Linked DNA regions of Tamandua tetradactyla. The protein of the gene in region 2 purifies or fractionates together with the protein of the main gene of each other region. This does not show direct contact. Links are inferred from orthologs where the notes say so. Each region holds a gene or a part of one and is shown on either strand. Other genes may lie near its edges.

Region 1 (8,097 bases), on a different chromosome or scaffold from region 2:
TGTCAGGGTTAAGACGGTACATGTAAAACACTTCTCGGTGCCCAGCACATACAGGTACTTGGCAGTTATTAGTTTCTTTACCCAGAAACTGTTATTCATGGATTCCAGCAAGTTCTGTTGAATTCTGCCTCCCAGATATACCCTGCATCCATGGGCGCCTTGGCACCATCCCTCTCCAAGCCTTCCTGATCTCTCATTGAACTTCAATATCCACCAGGTAGGTGTCCCTGTCTCCACTAGGGCCTGGCTTTTCCCACGGTGGCCATCTCTAAATACGGCCATATCTCATGCCTTCTTGACCCTCCAAAATTTCCCTCTGTGTGAAGAGAAGAATCCAAAATCCTTTCCCTGGCTGACCCCATGTGGGCTCCCGGACCTCACTCTTTTCTTTCTTCCCCTCCCTCACACTCACACCCTCAGAGCTGCACTGGCCTATCTTCTGCTTCTTGGATGTACAATTCCTTCCTGCCTCAGGGCCTTTGCCCTCACTGATCCCTTCTTGGAGGACTCTTACCTTCAGTCTCCTACAGGCTGGCTCCTTCTGACACATGGGCTCTCAACTGGAAGAGCCCTACTTCCTCAGAGGGGACCCGCCCCCATTTCTTCCTCCTTGGATCCTCTGCCCAGAGCTTATCTGAGCTTTCCCTTATGATTTGTGTGTTTGTGGTCTGTCTCCCCAGCTGAATCTCTGCTTTTCCACCACTGAACTCTCCACATCTGGAACAGTGGCTGGAAAGGAGTAGGGACCCGTCGACATGAACAGAATCGATGAATGAGTAAATGACCACATTTCTGAATGGACAATGTAGGAAGGGACAGGCGGTGTAATTATGAACTGCAGTAAAGACTTCATCTTCACTTGTAATGTGCCTTCCCGGCCCTTTCCCCTCACTATTTCTGGGATGGTGAAATGAAATATGACAAAGTAAGTTTAATACCCCAATGGAGATAATTGGAAAATATTGATTTTTTTCCCCATTTGGACTGTAAAGATAAGAAAATGCCACACTTATGTAATCTAATCAGTAGCTTATGTGACAGCACATTTCCCAGGCTGAAATGGACTTTGTTCTACCTCTCTATCCATCATATGAAGCTCCAAAATCCATTCCCACTTCACACCCTGATCTAATCCCATCCTCCCCATTGAATACAAGTATGGACAATCAATTTGTGAAACTATGTGTGTCTATGTGTATGTATCCAAATTAAAGAACTTTTGGAGTATCTACTCCCCCACCCCCAACCCCCCCCAAATCTGCCAAATTGCGCTGGGGAACACAGGAAATGGTGCATGAGATCCCCCAGAACCATAAGGAAAAATGCATCCCTTTCTCTGACAGCTAACTTTTACTAGAGCTTACCAAGTGCCATGTATCATTCTAAGAATTTTGAGTGGATGCATTAATTTGATCCTCATAGCAGTTCTACAGGAAGGTCCTATTATTATCTCCATTTTATAATTTAGGAGTCAAGGGCGGTACAACAGTGGCTTAGTGGCAGAATTCTCATCTGCCATGCCGGAGACCTGGGTTTGATTCCTGAAGGCTGCCCAAGCCAAAAAATAAAAAAGAAGTTTGAGTACTGAGAAATAAAATGTAATACCCCCAAGGTTACATGGCTGGTAGGAGGGGGAGCCAGAGTTCCAACCTCCTTAGTCTGATGCAATAAGCTCTGCTCTTCTGCAACTCTCCAGAATAAGAAGGCTTGGGATCCTGAGCAACAACACGAAAAGAGGGAAAGAAGAAGAGTTTAACCCTTTGCTCTGGTTTTCATGGTTTCCTTCTGCAGGCTTAAATGAAATCTCCATCACAAAGCAGAAGCTTCCACCCTGTGGGCTCTTTAGGAGGAAGGTTTTGCTGGTCTCACAACAGACCTGGGCCTTGTTCTCCTTACTCATGGGAGAATTAAGTGTCAGCGGGCACTTAATTCCCCTGTGCCTAAGCCTCAGAATCCGATAGATGACGGCGATCAGACCAGATCCAAAGTCTAGCTCACTGGCTGAAGCCAGCCTGCAGATGTTTGTCTGATCCCCCTAAGGTTTAAACAGAATGTTTTTTTCAGCCAACCTTTACAGCTTGGGTGAGCTGACATTTAAAAATCCTGATTTCTGGTTTCTTTTGAAAAACGAAAAGACCTGGCAACACAGGGCCTGTGTTCCTGCCTGGGTGCTGAGGGGCAGCGCCCTGATGGATGGCCCAGCATCTGCCAGTTCCCCACCTCTACCTCTCCCACTCTCTCCCAGCCATTGAGGCTAAGTCCCAGATGCCATTTATCGTCTTGCCTGAACAGTTTTCTTTACAGTAAAGATGAAAGTGAAAGTTCACATCTCCCGGCAAAAGTGAGATCATCATCACTGGAATCACCAGAGCACTAACGATTATACATGCAATTAGTGTGCGCCAGGTCCTGACGGAAGGATGGTGCCTCGAATCACTCATTTAATTCACCCAACAACCCTAGGAGGCCACACAATTATTATCCCATTTTATACATGGTGGAGAGAGGGAAGAGGCTGCATGCTTCAAGAAATTAGTAGACAACAGATTTCTTTATGAAAATGAAGACTATTCCGGGGTGTCAAATGAGCAAAATCTATTTGGGTGCTGAAAGAACCTAACATAAAGCAGCATAATTAAATAAACCCTGCCCACTGTCTCATTTACATTACCTGCCTGGCCCCTGCACTGGATCCTCAACATCTTCAGATATCCCAAGGTTCTACAAATGCGACCCTGGACTAGACTGGTTAAGTGCCCTCCTCCCCCAAGCTCTAACATCCTGTGATTTTAGGTGGGTTCATAAAATGCATCTCTAATAGTTTAAGACTCTGGAAAGGAAACACAACACATACCTGAAAACACAAACCTGCACAGGCAAGCACATATAATGTAGCACAAGTTTGCTTAGAGTTCTGAAGTGTGTGGTCCCTGTGGGGGTTCTGTAGCTGCTGAGCTGACATGCATGGCACCTTCCCTCCCTGCCGGCTGCCTCACCACATGGGCCTTTATGACCCACAAAGGACACGTGAAGACAGGGGCTGTCTCCAGAGAATCCATCAGCTATGGGAGGTCAAGGTAGCAGCAGGCTCCAAAGTGAGGTGGGAGGTGGGAGTAAAAGTGACTTCATTGGGAAAGGAAATGGAGGGAGGATGGGAAAAGTAGGTGGAGTGTGGTGGTATGGAGCTGTAAGTACTATAGAAAAATATGTTCTGAAAATTAAACCATTCCTGTGGATGTGAATTCATTATAAGTAGGACATTTTGATGAAGTTACTTCAATTAAGGTGTGGCCCACCTCAATCAGGATAGGTCCTAAGTCTATTACTGGAATCTTTAAAAGAGGGATGAAATTCAGACAAAACGAGAAAGCCACAGAGGGAACTTTCAATTTCAAAAGCTGAACATCAGTAGAACCTGGAAGAGAAGATGCTGCCATGTGCCTTGCCATGTGACAAGCTAAGAAACAAGGATCACCAGCAGCCAGTCCCAGAATTCAGGAACTCCTGAATTCTGTATTCTCCTGTATTCAGGGAGAAAATATCACTTTGATGATGCCATGATTTGGTCTCTGTCCTAGGCTCAAAACAAAGAGCAAATGAATTCCCGTAGTTTATGCTAGCCATTTTATAGTATTTGCTCGAGCAGCCTAGGAGACTAAAGAGGAAGAAAAGAATGAAAACAGAGGCTAAGGGGTATAGTAAAAAGTGACTAGGATTGGAAATATTACTCCAAGTGGGCTTAATCTAAAGGACACTGTCTGGAGGGACCATACCCCTCCACTAAACCAGCAAAGGCCTCTGAGAACTGGGCCTGGAGGTTTGGCTTTGGATACAAGGGCCTTTACTCTGTCTGCCAGCAATGCACCGAGGGAAAAGTTGGTTAATCTCTTTCCTGGTTACACTCCTGGGCCTTTTTCTGTGCTAGTCTTGGTGCCAAGTGTTGAACACACAAAGGAACAAGAGTAGGTTTCTGCTCTCAAAGAAGGAAAAGGCATGGAGCCCAATGACTCTGATGCAATGCTGCATAAAAAGCTGTGGGATCCCACCAGGCAGGAGGAGCTCATTCTGCAGGTGGTGCCAGCTGCTGTGATCTACAGCAGGAGGTGTCATGAGAGAATGGTGAAGTTGGCAAGGAGCACGGTCAGGGCCAAGGCTGTGCCTAAGAGATGGCTAGCGTTATGAGGTAACTTGGGCAGGCATTGAAATCTCAAGTGCCTCCAGGGCTAGGCCAGTGGTATCAACGCAAGAAGTGGGCACCTGGTGACTGGTACCACCAACCAAACTGTCAGCATGTATCCAGGGTCAAGGGAGTGGGCACTAGCAGGGCCAAAGCATCCTGTTCTTCAAGAAAAACTGAGCAGTCCAGGTTTTATGTTAAATCTCTATTTTTAAATATAAGAAAACTCTCCTATGGCCCCAGTTCAGTCCAGTATAAAACCTCTGGGCATGACTGTGGGTTGGTGACCGTGTAAAGATGAGGCTGGAGATCAGCAGAACAGCCAAGTGGGGGATGCGAAGGGGAAATGCTTCTCCAGGGGAATTCTCCAATTAAAGATGATATGTCTATAGGGCAACTGTGAAGGCCACAAGGTCAGGCTGTTCAAAAATCCCATGGGCACCAGTAGGCAGGCCAATGCGATTAAGAACAACTGGCAATTGCTTCATCTTATTTAAAGTGCTCTGCAAACAGCTTTGAGATTTTCTTTCCTGCCACATCGCTGCTCCTGAGCCCTTTCCTACTTGGAGACAGAGGAGCAGCCACAGGGTCAAACCCCAAGGGAGTTGAGAAGGCAGTAGAGGGCAGGGCCTTTAAAACAGCATTTGCCGGTTTGAAAGGATGTATGTACCATAGAAAAGCCATGTTTTAATCTTAATTCCATTTAGTGAAGGCAGTTGTTTCTTCTAATTCCTATTCAGTACTGTGTGTTTGAAACTTTAATTAGATTATCTTCCTGGAGATGTGACTCAATCAAGAGTGGTTCTTAAATTGGATTAGGTGGAGACATGTCTCCACCCATTCTAGGTGGATCTTGATTACTTTACTGGAATCCTATAAAAGGGAGATTCTAAGAGAGCAGAGAATGACATAGCCATGAGAAGCAGAGTCCACCAGCCAGTGACCTTTGGAGATGAAGAAGGAAAACACTTCCCAGGGAGCTTCATGAAACAGGAAGCCAGGAGAGAAAACTAGCAGATGACCCCATGTTTGCCACATGGCTTTCCAGATGAAAATAGTCAAAACTTGACTGTGTTTGCTATGTGCCTTCTCACTTGAGAGAGAAACCCTGAACTTCATCAGCCTTCTTGAACCAAGGTATCTTTTCCTGGACAATTTAGATTGGATATTACTATAGACTTGTTTTAATTGGAACATTTTCTAGGTCTTAGAACTATAAACTTGCAACTTATTAAATTCCATTTTTTAAAAAGCCATTCAGTTTCTGCTATATTGCATTCTGGCAGCTAGCAAACTAGAACAGATTTTGGTACTGAGAGCGGGGTGCTGCTGTGGTTTGCAAATACCAAACATGTTGGAATGGCTTTTTAAATGGATGGGGGGAGGATTCTGGAAGAGTTATAAAGAGCTTGATAAAGAAGACCTAGAATGCTTTGAAGAGACTGTTTGTAGAAATGTGGACTCTTTAGAGTCTTCTGATAAAGTCTTAGACAGAAATAAGGCACATATTATTATAGACTGGGAGGAAAGCAATCCTTGTTTTAAAATGGCAGATAATCTGGCAAACTTGACTAGTGGCTTTGGCTGGAAGGCAGATTTTAAAAACCATGAACTTGGATATTTAGCCAAAGAGATCTCCAAATAAAATGTGGAAAGTGCAACTTGGTTCCTCCTCACAGCTTACAGTGACATGCAACAAGAGAGAGAGAAGCTGAGAACTGAACTCTTGAGTACAAAGAAACCAGAAATTGATGTTCTGGAAAATTCTGGGCTTCTAGAAAGGGAGACCCCAGAGAATAGTGCCCCATGTGAGGGGTTGGCCAAATGTGAAACCAGTCAGCCATTTCAGAGAGAGCCAGGATTGGACATGGAGTTATCCAGGAAGGGTTTGTGGAAACTCCTTATGTCTGACGGGCATGATCCAAGGCTACTGCATAGAAAGCCAATGAGAGCGTTGTGGGATCTGTATAAAGAGAACCACTGCTAGTCGGGACTGAGAATGACAGAGAAGGGACACACTGGAGGAAAAATAACTTCAGAGGCAAAGCCAAGGAGGCTGGGGTCTGAAATCAGGAAGCCTTGGGCCAGGAGAGTGGATGCACCCAAGTAGGTGGAGAGGGTGAGTTTACCCCAAAGGCAGAGGGTGGGCCTTCCACCTGGTTGCAGTGGGATGCCTCAGGCCTTGGAGAGGGTGAAGCATGTTCCTTGGGGTTTGGGGAGAGCCTGGCTGCCACTAAAGGGAGGGGTTGAACATGTGTCCTGGAGATGGCAGAGAGCCCAGGTGTAGACCCCGATCCTTGGAGAAGGTGGAGCTGGGAAAAAGGTGGTCTCCTCAATGTCCCCCAAAGTTGCATTCAGAGAGAGGCAGGCCTCTGCGAAGGCCTTTGGAAAGGGTGGGACTGTTGCTTTCTAAAACCTTGAAGATAAATGACTCTCAGACTTTGAAATCTAATGGACTTTGCCCTGCAGGTTTTCGAAAAATATATGGGTCCAGTGACCCCTGTGTTCCTTCCAATTCCTCCCTATGGAAATGGGTATAGGTATCCTATGACTGTTCCTCCTTTGTATGTTGGCAGCAAATAACTTGTCTTGAATCAAGGTCCAGAGCCAGAGGAGAATTTCTCTTTAAGACAGACTATGCCTGTAACTAACTTTGATAGGAGTTTGCACTGTTTCTAACTTTGTATTTCATTTGTATTGCTACTGAAATGGTTTAAGGATTTCTGATATTATGATGGAATTAATGTATTTTGTATATGGGGAAAACATGTCTTTTTTTTTAGGGTCCAGAGGGTATAATGTGCCAGTTGAAAGGAGGTATGTACCCTAGAAAAGCCATGTTTTAATCCTAATCCCATTTTAGTAAAGGCAGCCATTTCTTCTAATCCCTATTCAGTACTGTGTGTTTGAAACTTTAATTAGATCATCTTCCTGGAGATGTGACTCAATCAAGAGTGGTTCTTAAGCTGGATTAGGTGGAAACGTGTCTCCACCCATTCTAGGTGGATCTTGATCAATTTACTAGAATCCTATAAAAGGGAGCTTCTAAGAGAGCAGAGAATGACATAGCCATGAGAAGCAGAGTCCACCAACCAGTGACCTTTGGAGATGAAGAAGGAAAATGCCTCCCAGGGAGCTTCATGAAACAGGAAGCCAGGAGAGAAAGGTAGCAGATGATGCCCTGTTTGCCACCTGCCTTTCCAGATGAAAACAGTCTAAACCTGACTGTGTTTGCCATGTGCCTTCTCACTTGAGAGAGAAACCCTGAACTTCATCAGCCTTCTTGAACCAAGGTATCTTTCCCTGGACACCTTAGATTGGATATTTCTATAGACTTGTTTTAATTGGGACATTTTCTTGGCCTTAGAACTGTTAACTTGCAACTTATTAAATTCCCCTTTTTTAAAAGCCATTCAGTTTCTGCTATATTGCATTCTGGCAGCTAGCAAACTAGAACACAGTGTTTATTTCTTAGCCAACATAGTGGGCAGGCTTTGCCCCAGACCCTTTCCCCAGATGTGAGAACCTGGTCAAATACTGGCAGGGGGATGGTGAAACAAGCTTTTGATGACATTCTATGGATGCTTCATCCTGTTGACTCCTGGCTTTGCTACCTACTCACTGTGAGCCATAAAATGGGCACAATTATATAATTGTTGTATTGGGCCACCTCGAGAATGAAATGAGATTCACCATGGCAGGGGATCAGCAAACCGTTCCTGAAAAGGGCCAGCTGGTCAATCGTTTTTGACTCGGCAGGCCATATGGTCTCAGTTGCTGTAGCATGAAAGCAGTCATTATGACACAGATACAAATGGGCAAGGCTGGGTTCTAGTAAAACTTTATTTACAAAAGCTGGCAGTGGGCCAGAGTGCTTCAGGAAAAGTGAAGAAGTGTACAAATGTTATTTTCTAGAGACT
Region 2 (7,740 bases):
CTTCCCTCATGAAAATTACCAAATTAAGAAATTTAATGGGATAACAGCAGCATCTTTTTTTTTTTTAAGCCAAATTATTTTCATGTTGACACCTCATCTAGGACAACAAGCACTGAGGGCCTGCTAAGTAATGGAGGCGATTCTGGAAAAGGACATATTGCCTGAGAAGGGAATGAATGAGAGAGCTGCTCCCACTAACATGGGGGTGGGGAGAAGAGGTGGGAACAGAAATTCAGAGGCAAGACTGCCAGAAGTCCTCGTCAACATTTTAACCCCACATTGGCTCAACAACCTGCAAAAGTGATGGAGCTAATTTTCTCTTCCTCTTCCATAATATTAAGGCCATCCCACCAGCCCAGGCTGGGAAGGGTGGCCCTCCCGGTACCAGCACCTTTGGCACCAACGGGGCATGCAGCAGGCGGTGACTTTGTGCACTGGCCTGGAAGCCCCGGCAGTGTTTGGAGTAGGCTGTTGGGGAAACTGCATTCTAAGTCTAAGGAACCGTCTTCCAAATAAACACCAATCTTGTTTAAACTGAGGATGGCTATAGGATAGGGTGTACCTTCGCTTGGGGAAGAATAAACAAAGGGCGTGGCTATTTCCCCGCTTCCTTCTGTTGGAGGGATGGAGTGGAGGAGATTATGGGTATGACAGAAAATTTTTTTTAAAGTTCAGATTTGTGGCCCTGTAAGAATCTGTCCCATTTGAGCTCCACCAGTTCGCCTGAAGTGAAATGCATTTAAGTACTCTGTGCTAAGCAAAAACTTTGGAAAGGCCTATTTTGAGCCAGATTAATTACAAAATAAGACTCTCTCTAGAAGCTGACCATTTCCACCGTCCCCTCTATCCTCCTGAAAACACAGAGGCAATGGCCTCATGTATAAAAGCGCAGATACAAAGATGAAGGTGTCATTTTTATTATTCCCATTTCCCCATTCACTGATAGCACATAAACAGCTACTTCTATCTGAGTAGCATAGCATGGTCCCGAACCGATTCATATTAGTCAAAACCACAATATGTAATTTAAGAAAATACAGGCTTTCTATGGTCCCTCGTTCATGAACAACAATAATATTTTTCAATAAGTTATATATATTCCTCTCTGTTGATCTATGGAAAGCTAATTCTGCAAATAGGGATGTAGTAACAATTTCTTGCATACATGAATATATAAAAATCATATAAAAATATATACTATCTCATTTCTAAAAAAATATATATAAAAACATACATATGTATCTAGCTTTCTATCTATATATACAACAAACAAATGTAATATGCTATGAATGTCAATTAATTTAATAGAACTGATAGGAATTCTGCTGGAGTTTTTTTTTTTTTACAATCAAGCTACAATATTTATTGACTCTTCTACGAGGTAAACAAACCTTACATTCTGATTTAAATAAAAGACATTTATTTAGAGGTTCGATTACTGATCTATGTTAAATCAATACCCTTATAATTTTTCTCCCATTCTGGTTCTTACTTTTACCTAAGTGCACAATTACTGTTTCTCTAAGTGCATAATTATGGTAAACTTAAGCTTTCTTCTCAACAGCTTCTGTCAGCTAATAAGGGATTCATACGGGATTAAAGAAGATTAACATAGAGGGCAAATGAAGGGTAAAATAAGCAGCTGACAGTCACTGAAGAGGTAACGTTTTAGATGTCCTCAACTTGTCTTTATAGAACACACTGTAATGATATCACTCCAAAACTGGCATTAATGTAAAAAAAAGAAAGAAAAAGAAAAGGTAATTGATGTTTTAAAAATCGCTAAGTTTAAAAAACAAAACGGAAAAAAAATCAAAATAATGAGGAAGAAACGGTCCTGTCTTCAAAAAAGACGAAAAGGTACAGTGCTCTGTGCCAATGTTTACAAATCATTTAAAAACAAAACAAAACCACCCCAGAAGAGTTCAAACATCCCTGCCCAAGGCCAGCTTTGTGTAGTAAAAGCAGTAAACTGTTCCTTTTCAGAGGAAGAACGGTTCTCCCTTGGAGGGTGGGGGAAGATAAAGGGAGCTCAAAAGCCTGGAATGTGACTTTTTGCCCACACCACTGTTTCGCCTTAATAGGTTGTTTTTTCTGATCTTACTTTCTGCTCAAAATCAGTCGGAGAACTTTTGGTTCCTTCGATGAAAATTTCGTTATCATTAGAATAAGTGCTGCTCATTCTAAAAAAGTGTCTAAACACAATCAGAATCTCTTTCCTTTTAGAATTGAGAGTCCTGGCCACTAAAGCTCAATTGTATGTTACCCCACTCCGTCAAAACTCTATGTTTGGCCCTGTCCGCAAATTAAAACGTCTAATCTGCAGTAAAGAAAGTTTTCGTTTTCATGGATGGTCTGATCCTTTCCCACAAATCAGGGCCGTTAAAAGACTCGCGGGGCGGGGGGTGGCGGGTTTATGGAGAAGGGGTCGCTTGCAGTCCCCTGGCGCCCCCTGCGCGGGGATCCCGCGTTTACCTGCGTGTCATTTGGGGTGCTAGATCGCGGACGGCATGTGGACCCAGGTTTATCTTTCTCCCTCTCCCTTTCTGTTCTTCGACTCTTCTGAACTCAACTCCACCGTCTTCCGGGACCCGATCCCGCCCCGCCCTCCTCCAGGGAGAACCGTCCCCTCCAGTCCAGCCGGGTGGGGGGATTGGGTCGGGATCGCTCCGATCACGGAAAGCCCCCTCCGACCCCCCACCCCGCCCCCCGGCGCCGACCCCGCAGTCTAGGAGAGAAGGGAACCGTCCCGGGGGCCTCGGGGAGCCCCGGTCAGCCGGCAGGAGCGCCCCCTTCCCAGGCGCCCCGCCCCCTCCAGGACCCTCCTCCCTCCGTCCCTCCCCTACCGGCGTCCGGGCCCGGGTTCTCGGCGGAGGTTGGCGGGGGCCAGGCCGGGCCGGCCTCGCAGGACTGGACTACCTGCCCGCGCCCGCCGCTTACCTCGTTCGCTCCCTGGTGAAGCTCTGGCGTCCTGTGTTTCATCTCCTAGGCAACCGCCGGGCGCGCTCTGGCCCTACTGGGAAGGGGGCGGGACCATGCCGGGGAAGCCACGCCCAGGACCGCCTCCCGGGGGCGGGGCTTAACAGGAGACCCCTGTTGAACTAGTTTTCTGGGCCCTTCGGATTTGAGGTTCGGGAGAGTCTTGGCTAGTTTTTCAGTTCTTTGTCGCAGCTGGTTTGTTTGCCCCGTTTGGTCTTTTCGTTTGTTCGCTTTCCGTCCGATTCATTCTATAAAGTCTTGATTAGTAAAAGCTGGTTCCCAGATTGGACAGAAGCGGAAGAAAAAGGCATATGTTTGCCGCGACTTCTATTTTCACATACTGCCTGGGGACAGACTGCTCTTCTTGGTCAATCCCTCAAGTATGGGTATAGAGGACAGGAGGGGAAATTAGCTTCTGACAGGGGAAAATAACTCCTGAAGTAAGCAAAAAAGAAGGGGATTGGTGTGGAGGCTGGAGGTAACTCTGGGGCCAGTTGGGGTTTTAGAGTATACAGCTGCGAAAGCAGTGCCAGTGGCATCATTCCTGCCTTTTTGTTGTTATTTTCAGAGGAGCAAAAGGGAAAAATAAAGTTTCTTAGATCTCATTGAGCACCTACTACATGCCAGGCTCTGTTCTTGGTATGGGGTGGGGATGGGGCGGGGAATTGCAACACTGTCTTTCTGAGGATGGACATTTAAACCAAGACCTGAGGGAAGGAAGGAACCAGCCACGTAAAGTCCAGGGCCAGGGATACCACACAGGAAAGGGAACAGTAGGCGTGTGTACCAGAGGGGGGAAACAGGACCGGATGAGATGGGCAGAGTAGTCAGGGCCCAGGAGTTCAGATTTTATTCTATGTGTATGGGAAATCTTTGCAGGGAATTAAGCAGGAAATGATGTGAGCAGAATTACATTTTTAAAAACTCCACCCCAGACTGCCACCATCCTCATCCAAGCAACTTCAGCTCTCACCTGGATAATTGTGACTGCCACCATCCTCATCCAAGCAACTTCAGCTCTCACCTGGATAATTGTGACTGCCTATTAACTGGTCATCTGCTTCCATTCTGTCTTCTGTTTTAGTTCCTTAGGCTATTTAAAGCAAATACCATGAAATGGTTCAGCCTAAGGAATGGGAGTTTACTTACTTATGATTAGAATCAGAGGAAATGTCAAGCCATCAACAAGATTTTTAATAAACTTAGTTTGGGAATAATTTTATATTTACAGAAAAGTTGCAAAGAGATCACAGACCCTACACCCAGCTTCCCCTACTATTAGCATCTTATATTACTATAGGATATTTGGGACAACTAAGGAACCAATACTGATACATTATGTTCATTAGGGTCCATACTTTAATCATATTTCCTTAGTTTTCCTCAGTTTTCTCTAATGTCCTTTTATCCAGACTCCCATCCAGGTAGCACTTTACATTTAGTCATCGTGTCTTCTCCGACTCCTTTTGGCTGTGACAGTTCCTTAGTTTCCTTTTTTTGATGACTGTGTTAGTTTGCCAAGTTGCTGGAATGCGATATACCAGAGATGGATTAGCTTTTAATAAAAGGGGATTTATTTAGTTAAAAACATAGTTCTTCTGAGGAAAGGAGGCTACCTTTCTTCTGTGGTTCTCCCTTACACAGGAAGGCACAGGTTGATCTCTGCTGGCCTTCTCTCCCAGCTTCTGGGTTCCAACAGCTTCCCCAGGGTAATTCCTTTCTGCAGCTCCAAACGTCTGGGCTGAGCTGAAAGTGCTGAGCTGAAAGAGCTGAGGTGGGCTGAGCTGTGTTGCGCTCGCTGCTGACCTCTTCTTTTAAGCCTCCAGCTAATTAAATTAAATATCACTCATTGCCCAAGGCACTCCCCTTAGCTGACTGCAGATGTAGTCAGCCATAGATGAATCCCACATGCTAATGATTGAAGTTCACACAACAGAACAACGGGGCATCAACACCTGGCCAAATTAACACCTGAACCTAATTACCACAATGACCTTGAACATTTTGAGGAGAATCCATCAGGTGTTTTGTAGAATGTCCCTCAGTTGGGTTTGTCTGGTGTTTTTCTTAGGGTTAGACTGTGGTTATGGTTTCAGGGGAGGAAATCCACTGAGGTAAAGTGCCATTCTCATCTCATCAAACCAAGATACATGCATCAATAGGAGTTATCGCTGTGGATGGTGGCCTTGACCACCTGGCTGAGGTAGTGTTTGTCAGGTTTCTCCTCTGTAAAGTTAATTGTCCTCCTCGCCCTATTTTGTGCACTTTAGAAGGCTGCGCTCTGTGCAGATGCCACTTAAGGAGTGGGGAGTGAAGCACTACCTCTTTGAGGACAGAGTTTCTACGTAAACTATCTGAAATTCTACATGGGCCATGTGGTGGTTTGAAGCTATATATACCCCAGAAAAACAAGTTCTTAAAACTAGTCCATTCCTGTGGGTGTGGACCTGCTGTAAGTTGGGCCTTTTGATGAGGCTACTTTAGTTAAGGTGTGGTTGGCGAAACTCAGAGAGAGAGAGAGAAAGCCATAGGAAGCAAAAAGCTGAAATTCAAGCACAGAGGCCAGGAAAGGTTGCCATGTACACTGCCATGTGACCTAGAAGCCAAAGACCAAGGATCAACAGCAGCCAGTCCCAGAATGCCAGTCTTTTGGGAAGAAGGCATCACCTTGTTGACACCTTGATTTTGACTTTCTTTTAGCCTCAAAACTGTGAGCAAATAAATTCCCATTGTTTAAACCGACCCATGGCATGGTATTTGCTTGCACAGCCCAGGAAACTGAAACAAGAGATTTTTCTCTTTGCTCCCCTTTTATTGAGCCATTTACTTATTCATTTCAGTGGACTCATGGATATTTGTTTTATACTTTGGTTCATAATCTAATTCTACTGTATTTTGTTGCTCAAAATATTCCAGCTTTGAGAGTTCTTTCAGACCATTCCTAGGTCACTTTGACATACCCCATCATTGTGGGTTTGTTTTTTTTAGCATTTTCTTGCTTTCTAGCACTATAAGATGCCCCTGGCTTGTCTTCTATATTCACTGTCCTCGCCTTAGATTCAGGCGTATCTCTGAGGAGACCTGCCAGTTGTTTCTAAATAGCTGATTTTGTCGTCCTCCTCCTCTTTCTTGTTTTTTGTTGCTTTGGTTGGTTGTGGTTTGCTGTCTTTGTGAACATGCGACACAGTGAGATCTCTTTTAAGCAGGAGTATCTACTTTCTTCAAAAATATGATTATTTGGTATTGGGAAATATGGAGTAACAGGGCATTATAACAGATGCATGCAACTAAGGTAAGATTAAGGAGGATTCCATACCAGGAAAAACATCTTTCTCCTGCATTGTTTTTCTCATCCCTTCCAAAGGAAAAATTTGTAGCACATCTCCAGAAATGGTGCATGAACTTTTTAAAAAAAAATTTTTTAAACACAAATATTCTTAAGGTGCATGAACTTTTAAGGTGTATGATTGTATTCTAGCCTTAAAGCTTGAGTTCTGTTTTCTTTCCCTACCTATCTTCTCCTTTTATACAATTTCTTCAACTGTTCATGTGATTTGACTGCATGTGTTTGTGTTTCCAGAGTTTAAAAAAAAAGTGAATGTTAATAAATCACTATAGCTTAAATGAGGGCATGGTGTGTTAGTTAGATTCAGTTGTCAACTTGGCCAGTTTTGTTGCTGCGGACATAAGCCAATGTTAGTGAACCTCATCTGTTGCTAATTACATCTGCAGTCGGCTAGGAGGCGTGTCTGTTGCAATAAGTGACATTTGACTTAATTGGCTGGTGCTTAAATGAGAGATCGCAAGGTAGCACAGCTAAGCAGCTCGGCATTCCTCATCTCAGCACTAGCAGCTCAGCCCAGGCCTTTGGAGATGCAGAAAGAAGTCACCCCGGGGAAAGTTGTTGGAACCCAGGGGCCTGGAGAGAAGACCAGCGAGACCATCCTGTGCCTCCCACGTAAGAAAGAACCTCAGTGGAAAGTTAGCTGCCTTTCCTCTGAAGAACTAACAAAATCAATCCCCTTTTATTAAAAGCCAATCCATCTCTGGTGTGTTGCATTCCGGCAGCTAGCAAACCAGAACACATGGTTATCTTAGATGTTATCTTAGATGCCATACCAGATTTAGTCCCTCCCATTCAACAAATGTTTTTATTTCCTGTGTCCCTCCACAGGCCACAGAAAATACATTCTGAGTATTCTCTGGGCACAGGAACTGTGAGATCCTCGTGGAAAGTCCATTTGCCACAGTCTTGTGTAAAAAAACAAAATACTAGAGTTTATCCTCACCCACATTTTATTTGTATTGTCTTGGAATTTGGGGGAAGTTCAGATAGCCAAGCAAAAATTTTAAATCCCCCAATTTTCTTTTGAAATCATCCCTTCTGTTTAATTTTATTTTGTTTCTAACTTACATTTTGAAATATTCCAAGCCTACAGAAAAGTTGCAAGAATAGCGTACTGAACACTCATATACCCTGCACCTGGATTTCGACACATTTGCTTTCTCTCTCTGCATCTATTATTATTACTATTGTTTGTAGCCACTGTTGTTTTTAATCTTATTCTTGCTGAACCATTTCATGGTTAGTTGCAGGCACAGTCACCGTTCACTCCTAAGAACAAGGATGTTCTTTTACAATAACCAGAATATGATCATCAAATTCTGGGAGTTTAGCACTGATAAAATACTATCATCTAATATTCAGCCCAGATCCAAACCCTGCCAGTTGTTCTCATACCATCCATGGTAGCATTTTTC

What was found.
Region 1: the proteins of MAK (region 2) and KATNIP purify together in Homo sapiens (affinity purification with mass spectrometry; 3 studies listed by BioGRID and IntAct, with this or other methods). This does not show direct contact. The link is inferred for Tamandua tetradactyla from reciprocal best matches to the Homo sapiens genes MAK and KATNIP.

The regions. Positions count from the first base shown.
Region 1 is NC_135349.1:25,965,148-25,973,244, forward strand, and holds the start of KATNIP (katanin-interacting protein), read right to left. Parts: upstream 3,044-8,097; 5' UTR 2,963-3,043; coding exon 2,855-2,962; intron 1-2,854. UniProt on the Homo sapiens protein: May influence the stability of microtubules (MT), possibly through interaction with the MT-severing katanin complex.
Region 2 is NC_135351.1:13,786,810-13,794,549, forward strand, and holds the start of MAK (serine/threonine-protein kinase MAK), read right to left. Parts: upstream 3,022-7,740; 5' UTR 2,941-3,021; exon of another isoform or gene 2,847-2,940; intron 2,609-2,846; exon of another isoform or gene 2,476-2,608; intron 1-2,475. UniProt on the Homo sapiens protein: Essential for the regulation of ciliary length and required for the long-term survival of photoreceptors. Phosphorylates FZR1 in a cell cycle-dependent manner. Plays a role in the transcriptional coactivation of AR.